Linked DNA regions of Yarrowia lipolytica. The protein of the gene in region 1 interacts with the protein of each later gene in a pairwise test. Links are inferred from orthologs where the notes say so. Each region holds a gene or a part of one and is shown on either strand. Other genes may lie near its edges.

Evidence for each region.
Region 2: the proteins of YALI1_D23785g (region 1) and YALI1_F39176g interact in binary tests that used the Saccharomyces cerevisiae proteins (3 or more experiments, as listed by UniProt). The link is inferred for Yarrowia lipolytica from reciprocal best matches to the Saccharomyces cerevisiae genes UPS2 and MDM35.

The regions. Positions count from the first base shown.
Region 1 is NC_090773.1:2,374,783-2,382,016, forward strand, and holds YALI1_D23785g (uncharacterized protein), read left to right. Parts: upstream 1-3,676; coding exon 3,677-4,231; downstream 4,232-7,234. Other genes in the region: YALI1_D23753g (uncharacterized protein), read right to left, coding at 1-560; YALI1_D23845t (uncharacterized protein), read right to left, coding at 5,808-7,234. UniProt on the Saccharomyces cerevisiae protein: Required for mitochondrial cristae morphogenesis and MGM1-processing. Controls the stability of mitochondrial phosphatidylethanolamine (PE). With UPS1, controls the level of cardiolipin in mitochondria.
Region 2 is NC_090775.1:3,914,018-3,921,084, forward strand, and holds YALI1_F39176g (uncharacterized protein), read left to right. Parts: upstream 1-3,616; coding exon 3,617-3,763; intron 3,764-3,859; coding exon 3,860-3,967; downstream 3,968-7,067. Other genes in the region: YALI1_F39128g (uncharacterized protein), read left to right, coding at 1-458; YALI1_F39159g (uncharacterized protein), read right to left, coding at 770-1,894; YALI1_F39164g (uncharacterized protein), read left to right, coding at 2,432-3,265; YALI1_F39183g (uncharacterized protein), read left to right, coding at 4,334-4,486, 4,840-4,974; YALI1_F39199g (uncharacterized protein), read right to left, coding at 5,282-5,965; YALI1_F39236g (uncharacterized protein), read right to left, coding at 6,478-7,067. UniProt on the Saccharomyces cerevisiae protein: Involved in mitochondrial distribution and morphology. Mediates the import of UPS1, UPS2 and UPS3, 3 atypical mitochondrial intermembrane space (IMS) proteins lacking the two major IMS-targeting signals, into the intermembrane space.

The DNA of each region.
Region 1 (7,234 bases):
CACAGCGGTTGCAGCACCGTTTTATGGACCTCTATTTTCTGTCCATCCTCACTAGTCAAATGAAAGTCTCCAGGAGTTCCGTCTCTGATTTTGGCCAATCCAGTCTTGTGCACGCTGGTGAGATGTATCTCGTCGGGGTTGTTATCCTTGATGAAAGATGCCAACTTTGGAATATCTTCGTTTTCAAGGGTCTGGAAAACCACCACCGTCCAGCTGTTGTCCAAGAGACAGACTCCTTGCCATAGACGAGACCTCAGAAAGAAAACGTGAGGGTTGACGGCCATGGACAAGACCTTGGGCGGCGAGCTGGCGGAAATGGGCGGTTCTGCGTGGAAACACTTGTCCAAACTGGTATGAAGTAGCCCCAGCTTATTGTCGTAGAACTTCAGATACACCGCTCTGGAGGCGTTTCCGTCGGCCTTGAGGGCGTGCGCAAAGTAGAAGCTTCCCATCTCTTGTAGGGTGCAAGAGGAGTAGAGGAAGGCGGTTTCTCTGACCAGCTGCTCCTCAGAGCACGCCTTGGGAAGCCCAAAAGTGTATGGCTTGTTTGGTGCTGCCATGGCGGTTAGATTACTAAGCGAAAGTGAGTGTGGCTGTCACTACGAGCACTGTATGGACTGTGACAGTGTCTGGTGGAATGACGATGAAGATGCAGGTCGTATTGATATCGTGCAGTGGTCAGCCTTATCGCAGCCTCGCAACAAGTTTAATTTCGAGTTTAATAATGGTGATGTTATCGGGAAGTGTCAATGTCGGAAACGTCATTGTCGGAAACGTGATTGTCGGTGTCATTGTCGGAAACGTCATTGTCGGTGCCATTGTCGATATGTTCATTTATTTACCAAAAATATGCGAAATTTCTCCTGGACTTGTTGGATACTTGTGTATCGTAGGGTCGCACTCAGATATGAGACACGGCTGAGTATTCTTTAATTCGAGTCTGTAGTTGAAGAGTCTCAGTTCGTTCTCGTCTCAGCTCGTTTCTCGTCTCAGTTCGTTTCTCTTCTGCTGAACTCGTACCGTACCACGAGCATTCCGCTCTGGATAGAACCTCCTCAACTAGCTATCATGGCTAATGGCTACAATACATACTCTCTAGAAGTCTCTGCGACATGTCCCTGCCATGTCTCTTGTGTCGCTTCGATCGCCATGGACGACTCCATGGACGTGTTCGGGAAATGGCGGCTGGCTTGCTCAAGATGCTGTTCAGTGGCTGGATCTGTTGCGTCCGAAAAGTCCAACAGCTGGTGACACTGGCTCAATGAAGTGCGATCTCGGCCCGCAGTTTCAGACTCTCGCCCATCAGATGCTGTTTGACAACGGAAGATGCTGTTTGACAACGGAATGAGTGATGCAGGAGGTGACCCGAGCTCCCTCAGTTGGAGGTTCCTCCAGAGGACTCTCGTTTGAGGGAGCCCTCCGGAGGAACCTCGAGCTCGTGCACCAAAAGTACGCGAAACTGGAGATCGGTGGGAAGGGTACAGTACCGTAAAAGTAGTACATACTGTATCAATGTATTCAGGTACAGTACAGTGGGTACTTGAAGCCAGTCTCAGGAGAGTTCCAATACTGCTTCGCTCGACCTCGAACTGTTATTGAGATACCAGCGAGTCCAATCAGTCAAGCGAGTCAAATGATCCAACGAGCCCTCCAGTCCAATCAGTCCGATCGGTTTGCTCCGCATTCCACGGTTCTAATTACTTTGCTCAATTGCAGACTCAGATGTCTGCCTTCTGCAGACTCAGACATCTGCCTTGAGATAGACAAGTATTCTTTACCGTACCGGCCACCGTCTCAATTATTGAGACTGCCCGATAATTGTATTTCGGGCTATCGCCAACTCTGTTGCGCAATACTGCTTGCTCGATCTCTTGTGTATGTCTACGTCTAGTGTCGATCATGACGTAATGCTGCGTCTGGGCCGTGGGCGTCAGAAAAGTGTGGAATCCGAACACTAGAGCGAAGCAAGCGATCCATTGAGTTTGACATCGGACACAAGAGTTGATTTGCAATTCAATTCCATTTTGAATGTACAAATAGTAAGAGAAGTTGATGCCTTGTGAGGGTATTTATACTTGTATTACGATTGATACGATTGGTCCTATTGGTACCATAGTGGATGGATTAAAAAGAGCCCCAAGCTGAGCTGTCTTCTAACAATCGAGGAGAATCCATTGGTGTAGTTTTCATGTTTGTATCTTGCTTGTGTAATGTCCTAGGTCCAGCCCTCTCCATGTTTTGGTGATTTATGTATCATAATACGTCCGACGGAGACGTCTAGAGTATGGCAGAGTATGACAGAGTATGGAAGGTGATGGTGGAGTTGAGAAAAGGTTGAAACAATAGTTGGTCGCAACTTCAGAACATTAGTCAGCAGTATAGCACACCATGTGACGGCTCAGCCTCTGTCGATCGAAGCAATCACACTTTATCCACGCAAAGAAGAACCGTATTGGAGCCGGGAGTTTTGGGAGGGCTGGATGGGATGGAGGCGGGAGGCGGGAGACGTTGAAACGAATGAGAGCTGAGACAGGGGGGTATTTTGAAGAGGTTGTTCAGTCTGGGGCGTGGGTAAAAAAGGTAGCTATATTGAGGCGGTTCTGGATGGATTAACCGGGAGAAAAGGGTATCTACGGGTAGTTTCAGGGTGGGCAGATAGATTTTTGAACTCCCCAGTCACCATTTTCTCACAAAATCTGTTGTTTTGAGCTCTTTCAGGGACTGAGGTGCACTTTGTGGTGTTCAAATACGCATCACTATGTACAATGCACTTGGTCACATCTGGAAACCATCATCCGCCTATTTGTCTCATAGTTTCGCGGAGCCAGAAACGGCTCCGTTAGACCCACAGTCTGGACTATAACTGTTCCACAATACGTGACCCAGCACGTATGGTTGAGGGGTTTACGATAGTACAACGGTAGAAAATAAACACAAACCTAGGCGACCGTTGGCCAGCTTGGTGAGGCTGAAAGCAAATGAATTGAGTTGGGGGCGGGCAGTCTACAAGTAGGGAGAAGAAGGGAATGACGGTCTTCTTCGCGGTTCACTACGTTCTGTTCAGGGGAGTACCGAGTTCCGATTGAGAGTGTGCCGAGGGCCATTCTTTTATGACTGTATTACGGCGGATCGAACTTGGGTCGAACGTCGGAACAATCCGAAGCTGTACCGACTTTTTGCTCGTGACTATTGTCTCCTCCGGCCAGTCTCAGATTCATCACTTGACTCACTCCGCCAGTCACATTCCGCCCGATAACCTCTACGGGTGCATCTAGTCTGCACCGAATGACTATTATCAGTGTGGGCCGAGGTTGGGAGCAACAGAGATAAGAGGCGGCCATTTTGCGGCTACCCGGCCGATTTTCGGCGGGAAAATTCGAAAATCGCAAACTTGATCCCAGGTGAGTTCTTTCCGAGGTCCAAAATCGCCACAATATACCCCACCGCGCCGCCTGGGACGCCGTCTCGATAAACCCGGGTAAGAGGATGCAGAGTACTGGCAAACTCTTTTTTATATTGCCTTTTTTTTTTTTTTTCGCCCACTATTAAAGTTGTCTCAAAATCTCTTCACTTTAAGCTTCGGCACTTTTCTCCCAGTATATAGAGCGGAGCTGCCCCGGCCTACAAACGGTCACCACCACCGTCACAGCAAAAGACACTCTAGAAAGCTCATAAAATGAAATTCTTCGACTCACGACACTACTTCAACTACTCGTGGGAACAGGTGTCCATCGCCAACTGGAAAAAGTACCCCAACGAGGTGTCCACCCATGTGATTGCGGTGGATGTTCTGCGTCGAGAAGTGGACCCCAAGTCCGGCGTGCTTCGAACCGAGCGACTCATCACCTGCAAACAGTCCATCCCCAAGTGGCTTCTTGCGCTGGTAGGAGGCCAGGAGGTGTCGTACGTCCGAGAGGTCTCCGAGGTCGACCCCAAGGCACGAACCGTTGTCATGCGATCCACCAACATGACCATGAATAACCTGCTGCTGGTGTTCGAGACCTGCACCTACTCGCCCGACCCCGAGAACCCCGCCACAAAGACCGTGTTTGACCAGGAGGCCCAGATTACCGCCTTTGCCTCCTGGAAGCGAATCTGCAACAAGATTGAGGACTGGACCGTGGAGCGATTTGGCCAGAACGCCATCAAGGGCAAGGCCGGCTTCGAGGGCGTCCTGCAGAAGGTGGCCAACTCGGACGTGTTCGCCCGAGAGTCCGTCTCCCTGTCTTAAGTGTCTGTGATCTCCTCCGTCGTCTCTTTTTTTGCATATCCTCTCTGACGAGACAGCACCAGCAACCACCACTCAAGAACACAACAGCATAGCACCCCAAAAAAGCATTCCCGAACCGCTCCAATTGCGCAAGCTCGGCCTTTCTATAGATGCATGTACATACTAACGATTTTAACAATATTTGACGATTGTAGCTCTTGTTGTGTGGTAATTTTGACGCGTCCTAAATTGCCGTTTCTCGGTGGCTGATGCTCTTTTTTCTTTTCTTGTATATATTTTCCCCATTTTTCCATTTTTCCATTTTTCCATATATATTTTTTGCCAATTTAAACTTTACTGTTCACACGACCCGAGTCTCACTGCCCACGCGACCCTTCATCTAACTCGGCCAATTGAAGTCGGATCGCGAAAAAAAATACATAGCTCAATTACCACACTCTCCCTGATCACAACCGTATCTTTAACTTGCCCATTGTCCCCGTTTTGGTGTACAAAACCCCTACCCCTCCCCCGCACCGGAACGTTTCGGGCACTAAATTTGGAGCCGGCTCATGCCGCACTGGAATCTCCGGAAAAAGTCCGGAAAAAGTGCTCGTGGCGAAAATTGCCCCAAAACGCGAGTTTTTTTTTATTTATTTTTTATTTTTTGGTGCGCAAAAGCCCCAGCCGCAAACCGCCACTGGGACCACATCCGACCGCGATACCAGATCGGAATCGGCTTCGCATTTGTCATGTCTGGTATCGGCACGTGCATAAGCAGCCCGAGTGTCGGAGATGTGATTTTTCGGGTTAGGGAAGACACGAGTAAGAAATATGGAGAAGGAAGTGGTTTTTTCACGTGTATATTATGGTAAAGGGACTTTAAAAAATGAAATTTGACCAAGAAAAACTGCGATAATGAGCTGCTTCTTTTTTTCCAGCAAGTTGTATGAGAAACCTTAGTTTGAACAGTGGATGAATCTTCTCGACTTTGAGTACCGCCGCTATAGTTGTATTTTGTGAGGGAAAACAGGGAAATAGGGTAGTTTAGACGATAAATACACATGTGAATGGTTTGTGTCTTCTTCTATTCGATTTTCGAGTTTTAGATGTTTTTGCAAATCTGAAGTTAGAGGGGGCATTTTCTCCAAGTACAGTTTTTTTTTCCATATACTTTTTTTTTTTTTTTTTCTGCATATACATTCATTTAATTATAACTTTGCCGTGAAAGAATAACCTTTGAAATGAATGTACGCTTACACGAATATTACTAATTAAACACGTTTAGTGTCATGGTCCAACTTGGCACGTACCTATTTCCAGTAAAAAAATCATAAAAAAACCTGGTTCAGTCCGTGTTGTATGTTGGTCCACATAGCTTCGCGTGTTTGTTCGTTCATCGGGAAAACGCCACTCCAGTCTCCAGTTCTCTAATCTCAATCCTTCCATTGCCCTCTTCATTTGCATTGCCTTTGAAAACTTCTCCTTGTGGTTCTTCTTCGTCATTGGTTTGGTTCTGCGTCCCCTGTGGTGACTACGCGCCCTGCTACGCTGTTCTCTCGGTGGCCTCGGCCGCCTTTTACGCTTGCTACTGTGTCTACTCTCGCTCATCGTGAAGTGCTGGCGGTTGTCCATCGTAGAAACACATCTGGGCTTCCTTCAGGAATTGAAGCAAACCCTGTTGGACATGTCCCAGGGTGGCGTCGTCCCCTGAGTACCGGAGGGATCTCTCCATCTTCCAGATCCCATAAGCCAATTCCCGCAGATATTTGCGTGTCTTGACTTGTTGATGTTTCCGGGGGGCGTCACTGTTCACATGCCCTGGGAAAGAGGGGAGTACTCCACATTTCGACTCGGTAAAGATCCAGTCCTTTAGAGAGTCCACTGACGGAATCTTCATCCTGGTCAACATGGAAAGAAGAACTTCGCACTTGCAGAAGATATGCTCGTGCAGATCCTGAATGATGGCCTTATCACAGAGCCCGCATCCTGGATTCTTCTTGGTGAAAACGTGGTCGTCAGGGTATCTCCATTTCACGAGCGGAAGTCGAGATATCCGCATGAGGTGAAGAACTTGTGCTTTGTTGGCGTCGGCGATGTAGTGTTTTCGAAGGTCATGCATTACCTCCTGCCAGACCATGTCGTCAGAGATGCCCCCGTAGTCGCTTCGTTGAGTCCACTTCTTCGGTCGTGCAAGTGTGTGTGGGAAGTTTGGCAAGTCGGGAGACGAGGTCTTGTGAAACATGAAGTTCTCTAGAGTAAGTGGTCCCATGCTCCACCGGAGGTGGTCGATTTCCGCTGTGGACACCATTCTGACCGGATGGTATCGTCTCGCGGCTGCGATGTCGACGTGTGCTTCCCGGAAAGATTCTGCTGCTCTCACGTTCACCTGGTTTCGTTCCCAGATTCTGTGATTAACTGTGTCTGTTGTAGAGGGCTCGTGATCTTCTCGAGGGTTGGCATGTTCCGCGGTGAGGGGCTTGTTGAGCTCGAAAGAAGCTCTGATTGCGTCTCGCATGGTGGGGGAGGCTGCGTAGCCCCAAGCTTGGCCTGTCGGAAAGCGGCAGTCGACGCGCTGGTGTGGCTTTTCCTGTGTGAGACTGTGAGTTCTGCTGTAGAACTGGAAGGTGCAGTCCCAAAGGGCCGGCGATGAGCCATGGAAGAACCTGTAAGCCCGAGCGGCCTTCAGGCACACCATGAAACGTCCCATGTCCCGCAGGTTCAGTCCTCCTCTGCCTACCGGAGTTTGGATGAAACCATTGCTGAAGGTTTTGCGTGTTTTGTCGGGTGATAATTTGTTGATCTTGTCGCACGCTAGTTCGTTCAGCTCTCGGATGAAGGTGTTGTCGATCTGGCTGACGTAGGGTCCAAGGAAATTCAGTTTCGAGAAGAAGTAGATGTTGATCATCCACGCCTTGCTGTAATAGGGGAGACCCCATAGTGAAAGGCGTCGCAGCGACTCCTTGAGGTCCTCCTTGATCTGAGCGTAGTGCGTGTCCAACCTTTCGCGATTTCCGAAGTGTA
Region 2 (7,067 bases), on another chromosome or scaffold:
CCAAGCTGGATACTGCTAAGCGAGATGAGAAGGTGCTCAAGAAGATCATCAAGAACCAGGAGTCACAGAACATGGAAATCAAGCCCTATTCGTTCGACATGAAGCAGGTGGAGGGCTTCCGATACCGAATGGACGACGCTTTCCGAGCCGTCACAACCGTGGGTGTTCGAGAGGCCCGAGTCAAGGAGATCAAGACCGAGTTGCTCAACTCCGAGCGCCTGGCTCGACATTTCGACGAAAACCCCGACGATCTGAAGGCTCTTCGACACGACAAGGAGCTCCACACATCCAAGGTCCAAGCACACATGAAGCGGGTGCCCGACTACTTGTTGGGACGAAAGGGTAAGCTGGATCCTAATGTGTTTGTGCCATTCAGAAAGGATGATAACAAAATCCACAAGAAGTATACCAAGAAGAAGAAGGGCGGCGATCCCCTCAAGTTCAAGAAGCGAAAATAGATGATATAGAATGGAAATGACAGATTACATGGTATTGAAATAGCGGGTGTCTGCTACAAGTAAGCGGTGTGTTTTCAAGACTACAGTACACATACTGTACATAGATATATGCTGGTGTTGGTTCTGTAAGTGAGTTGTGTTATAGTCACTTGTACCAGTAGTAAAAACTTGTGGTACAGTATGTATGTATATACAGTATATTCTAAGCTATTCTATATTTGTATTGGTACGCTACTGTACATGGGTAGGTCCGGTCCAATTCTTCGTATCCTCAATTAATATCCGTTATTAAATTATGTTGTGCTTTATTCCTACTTGGAAACACTTCTAACCCAGTATTCACTGGCACCCTCCTCTCTCATCTTAATATACTGACGAGACAACAGCAGGCCGACTTGGTACAGTTCTCGTTCCACGGCCTGCTTCTTGGTTTCCAGGTCAGCCAGATTCTGGGTCAGATTCGTCGACCTGCCTCCAGTGTTGGCAGAGAAGTTTTTGTATGTCGTGGTCGGCCCCATCTTCTTGATGAGATCAATCTCCACTGTGATTGCACGTGACAACTCAAACAGCTTGTCCGACTGCTGTTGCAGCTGGGCCACTCGGTCTGCCCGTGATGCGTGCGACTCCCTTGAGCTAATCGATGCACTGTCCGAGGCGGCTCGTGGCTTCTCAGCTGCAATGCCTCCATGTCCTTCCTTCTTGCTCTTGACCGTCTGTCTTACCAAAGCGTCAAACTGTCGCTCGATCTCCACCTCCTTCATCTTGATACGAGCATATACTCCGGAGGGCCCCGAGTTGTTGTTGGGTTTCACCTTTGCCCGTGGGTCGTGCGTCTGTGGTCGAGGAGCCACCGTGGGCTGTTGTGGCCGGTGACCGAGACCATGTCCTATGCCTGCATTCTTGTGGAAAATGCCCCGGGTGCCTGTACTAGGTGGAGCCAGTCTAGCTACTGTGGCAACGCACACCTCGGCTGAGGTGTCTGGCGAGTCTAGAGACACATCTCCGTCTTCCTCGGCGTCCTCGAAGCGGTCCAGGTCTGAGTCTCGAAGTGTAGATGTGGAGGAGGAGTTCTGTAAACTCTTGTTATGCTGTGTAGTTGGTGCAGCCCGTTGTTGGGCATGTGTTGTTGTCGTGGTCTGATGATGTGTGTTGAAAGGGACAGGGCTTCCAGAAGGCTGTCTGGGCTGGTTCAGCTTCTTCTCTGGAGTCGACGTGCCCCCGGCGGCATGCAAAACGTCTTCGGGGATGCAATAGCTCTCGCTGGCGACGGTGTTGAGCGTGGAGGACGAGTAGTTTGGCACCGCTCTCATGAAAGCTCTTCGGCGCTGTTCCGACATGACAAAGGACTCATCACGGGTCATTTCGTAGTGCGACGTGTCGTCGGCGCCAATAACGAGGGCGGCTCCCACGGTTTGGGCCATTGGTCGTGATGGCATCTTGGTTGGGGTTTACGTCTCGTCTCTTCAATCTGCTTGTGATGATTGACACTCTCACTGTTTTGGATTCAGAGCGCGAAACGCGCCTTTAGGTTTCAAATGCGATGAACAGAGTTGGTTCCCCTACCTTGAATCGCTGGGTGTTAAAACCAAGTCGTATAAACCACCCTGGCAGGTGTTGAGAGAAGAATAGGTGAGACTCGTATGTAGTATGGGAGAGAGAGCTCAAGAGGCATTATATCATATAGCAGGTCTGGCACTTGACCTGCAGCATCGCATCCTGCAGGAATCCATCACCTGGGTCTTAGATTATTATTCTCCTTCCCATGCAATGTTGTGGTTGTATTTTGAAATGTTATTCTGAGACTTCTGTCATACCCTTTTGAGAAGTCGGGGTTGGGGTAGCCCAGAACTTGCCCAGAACCTGAATAGCCATTTGGGTCACGCGCCAAGTGCAGCAGTCATGCACTAACGTTTAGTTCCTAAAATTTCAAGTGCGTTTTTCAGGCGCAAAAAATAAACTGACCAAGCTCTATAATGCAGCGACTATTGAAAAAGGCACTGAAAAACAGCGCAGCGGGCGAGGCTGGAGCACCACTGGAGCGCACCGACACCCGCTCCTCGCACGAAACGCTCTTTGACGACAACAAGTCCGCGGTCTCCACGCTGTTTGAAACCCCTGAAGGCGACCCGCGAGAACGGGATGTCTACAGCATATACTCGGCCATGTTTCGACATGGAGTGACCGTTTTTGACGATGGCCTCAAAAAACCCATTCTGTCTGTGTCCACGCATTTCTTCGGCAAGACCTACATGGAGATTTACCGGCTGGACGATAAGCAGAGCCCAGGTAGCGAGGCTGTGTCAATGTCTGGAACCGAGTGCTACAAGTCGCTTCTGTGCAGTGTGACACAAAAGGTACTTGACAACGACCGTATCGAGTACATTCTCACCTTTGTGGACAGCGAGCGGGACAACATCACCATGGTTACCCATGGAACCAGGCGGGTGACTACAGCTTCTTACGAAGGCGTGCAGTTGCAATGGTACGGAACGACGGGCATTGCCAACACTTATGGCTCTGGATTCTTTCATCTGCGGCTTGTTGACACCGAACATACTGAGAGACAGGGTAATGTGCTGCCAGACTCAGACACCCTCTGTGGTCCTTGCATAGGAGCCTACAGTTATCTGACTGAGGGCAGACTGAAGAAGCAGCGCCGGGTTGGCGAGTTTAGCATTTTCAATGGTGGCACTCATCTTTCCGAGGTCATCCTACTCATGGGACTGGTTCTGCGAGAGGGAGAGATGCGAAAGATAACGGAAAGTACACGAGCTGCCAATGCTGTCACCAGCAAGGTGTTTTTGTAAACTGAGTGATGAAAACGGCATGGTTGAAACAATAGTTTGGTAGCTACCGTGATGAGCTCCGTCTCTTGCGACAACCAGGATAGCAGCTTGGGCGGGAAAAAGAAGAAGAATGTGGATTGTGGTGGCTTTGAGTGCCTTCCGCCGATAATGTGAAACGAATTTTTATTATTAATGAGTAAGACAGACAGACTAATATATCTGAATACTATGGTTGGTTGCCTAGGGTTGTGTGGATGGTCGTTCCCGTTCAGCTCATGGCCGAATCAGGTATACTCGCTTACATAATCATTTTGGGTTGCATACAGGCATCTCGGTGAAGCATGATTTTCGACTTTACACTCGACCGTCACAATGAACTCCTTTGCCCCGGAATGCACTAAAGCCAAGAAGGAGTACGACAACTGCTTCAACAACTGGTACTCGGAGAAGTTCCTCAAGGGAGAGTCCATGGAGAACGAGTGTGCCGATCTGTGGCACGAGTACGAGGATTGCGTCAAGGTGAGTAGGGAGAGGGAGAGGGCAGCCTGGAGATGAATTAGGATCGATTCAGGAGATCGGTACCCGGCGTACCACTCACAGTATTTACTAACCCAGGCCGCTCTTGCCAAGAAGGGTGTTGGAAAGATGATTGACGAGGCTCGAAAGCAGGCTCCGTTTGAGAACGGCGGCAAGCTCGTGGAGGAGGATGAAAAGAAGAAGTAAATGTATATATTAATTGAACGATTCTGCTGGCCAAGATGTGAAAAAACGAGTTTCTCACTTGTATCAAGTCTGTGTTAGTCAGGCTTTTCTCTGTAAGTGTGCAAGGGTGTCTGTGAGTTACGGGTGAATTTTTTTAAAATCTAGTAAAAGGATGAAGTTCGACAGATTTTATAGGGAAATCTAAACACTTTCTAACGATTTATAAAAAGTCCTCTCGCCGCAAGAAGTCATCGGCCACCTTCCAGTACCCCAAACACACCTGTGTAAGTCACTGCAAGAAAACCTCGCCACGTGACAAACAAGGTTTTGCAAAATCGTCGGTTGGAATATCAGACTCTATCACCACACATACACGACCATACAAAAATGCTGTCTCTGATTCAGTCGCTACGGCCGACTGTGGCCATGAACAACGTGGCGCAGATGTTTGTGCGAAACACTTGCAAGTCCGCCCATGTCAAGACCAAAAAGGCCGTTGCCAACCGAATCAAGATCTGTGGTAGTGGAAAGATCACCAGAGTGAGTGCCACAAGGATGGAGAGGAGGGGAAATAAGGAAAAAGGAATGCTGGGAGCGACTCCGATCAAGCCATGATAGAGTGGATAGCTGATATTTCAGTGCCGGAAAAGTTTTGCCTCTGATCTGATCATGGCCTTATGTTACACAGCTTTCAAGCTGAGATGATTAACTGTTTCAGCAGCTAGAAGAGATACCAGACACGGAACTACCTGTCACAACCAGGCTGATTACGCACACTGCGTTTTTTTTGTTTTTTTTGTTGCTTACCAGGCACTCAGATCAAGCAAGACACTCATAACCTCTTGTAGCTGAACACATCAACAATGACAACTTCCAGATCGCCACTAACTCAGGGAAAAACCGGACGAAAGCACGGAAACACTGGATGGTCCGCTGCTCTGCTGCGAAAGAAGACCGGTATGACCGAGCTCACCGGTTTCCAGAAGAAGCATGTCAAGAAGTACGTGCCTTTCAAACAATCCCCTTAATGTATATAGCAATTAGAACCCTCTTGGATGCACGAGAAGTCTGTACAGTACAGACGGATACAAGTTCGTAGTGCACGTACCGAGCTGTTTAAATTAATTGATGTATTTTTCTGTATAAGATGTAATCATTGCATACTCTGCAAATAATAAATAGGGCGCGCGGGGTTTAGATCACGGTTTTGATGGGACAGCTAGGCCGTGGGTAGGTACAGCACTTGTACTCAGGCCGTGGTGGAGACGCGGTACTGCGAAAGTACCAGCGATATGAATGTCGTAAGTATCATACTACAATTGTAGCAGAGGGGGGTTACTGGCCAAGCAACAACCAACCAATAAAATAGACACCATAACCCATCATTTCAACAGCATCCACAGGGTTAAGGCTGGACAGACCAGAGTCCCACTCAATGGCAGACTCACGAGGAGCATACTCTTGTCGATCTGAAGAGGGCTCGTTGGCCAAAAGACCGACATTTTTTTCAGGCACAAAAGGCTTGAGCTCCTCGCCAGTCAACCAATAATGGAGTCGATCTCCAAATGCTGAGGCGTTGGACTCGCGGTTGCACTGTTCAATCACGCTTGTCACTAATTGTTGTTTGTCGGCGTCACAGATATCGAGCATTTGTGTTTCTTGAGAGTGTTTTCTGATTACAGCGGACCCAGGGGCGCTTTTTTGATTATATATAGCCTTACAGCCTTTCAGAGACTTTCGTCGCCATGCAACAAAGACAGGACCAGTAAGGTTGTTGAGTGCACGTGACCTCGGGTCCACGAACGTCATGGGGCAAAACAAGACTATTGCAACATAATTATAAGGGGTAGATGCAGCTTGCGAGTTCCCCTCCTGCTTGCTACGTGCCAGTGCAACCTCTGGCGTGTTATTCTTCCACATTTGCTCTTTGTGGCGACCAGTAGCGTGTAATAAACATTCTGGGGTAACTGTAAGCGCTGATATGGAAATGTACGATACGATAGGGTATGTAGGGTCCATGTAGGGTCTTACAGATAGCTTCAACAAGTACTCGTACCAGGCGCGATACTGCAATAACAGTGGATATTTCTCAACAAATCTACTGTAGGTGACACACACACTCACGTCTGCGTCTCCACATGACAAGCATCACTGTTAATCTATGTTCCACTTGATTATGGCTTTTGCCACCAGGTCTTGTTGGGTCATGTCTTGTGTACTTTTAGCTCTCCATATAATAAATATATTGGGGTAATCCTCAAGGTGGAGAATGTGGGGTGCCTGAATACATGGAGTGAAAAGTCGTGTGACCAGTTGTCGTTGGCAAGATGATAAGATCGGTGATGAGTCCGAGCACTTAATTGCGCGGTAGTGTATTGTTCTACAAGTAGCACAACATGTCATACTACGATTACTACAGCCTCACTCCACACTACATAACGTACAGTACTGTACTTGTACCCGTGCCATAGACTACAAACAATAACACCTCTGTAACTAAACATGCAATCTATACATTTTTGGGTCTCTATTTACTCTTGCTTTTCAGCCTCGTTCACCTGCTCCTCGACATTTTCATCGCTCTCCTTGACTCGCTTACCGTCCTTATAACTGTATCCAACCCACTCATTGCCCTCCTTTTTGATCTCCGCCGTGGGGAAGTAGTGGTAGTTCATCTTCATGGAACACGCAAACGCCACGTTGTCAAACGTGACAATACGCAACTTGACGTAGGTATTGTCAGGGATCTTGGTCACCACAGACAGGAACGTCTCCAGATCAGGAGTGGCGGTGCCGTTCACGTGAGTGATGAAGTTGGTGGGCGCAATCAAGTACTGGTAAGCGGGAGATCCCTGGGCTCGACTGGACACGTAGACGCCCGAGTGGATCTTTTTGATTTGCTGACGAACAGCATGGTGGGGGGTCTGCAGAACAGCTCCGCACCAGAAGACGGCCTGAGAGGTCTCGAAAGCCGAATCCGTGGTGGGAGCCTGGATCTCCTCCTCCTTTTTGTTTCGCACCAGCTTGATGGTCACCTGCTCCTTGTCGCCGGCCTCGCTGAGCGTTGTCAGGGTCGTCAGCAGCTTGCCGTTGATGGACAGCAGAATGTCTCCCTCTTTGA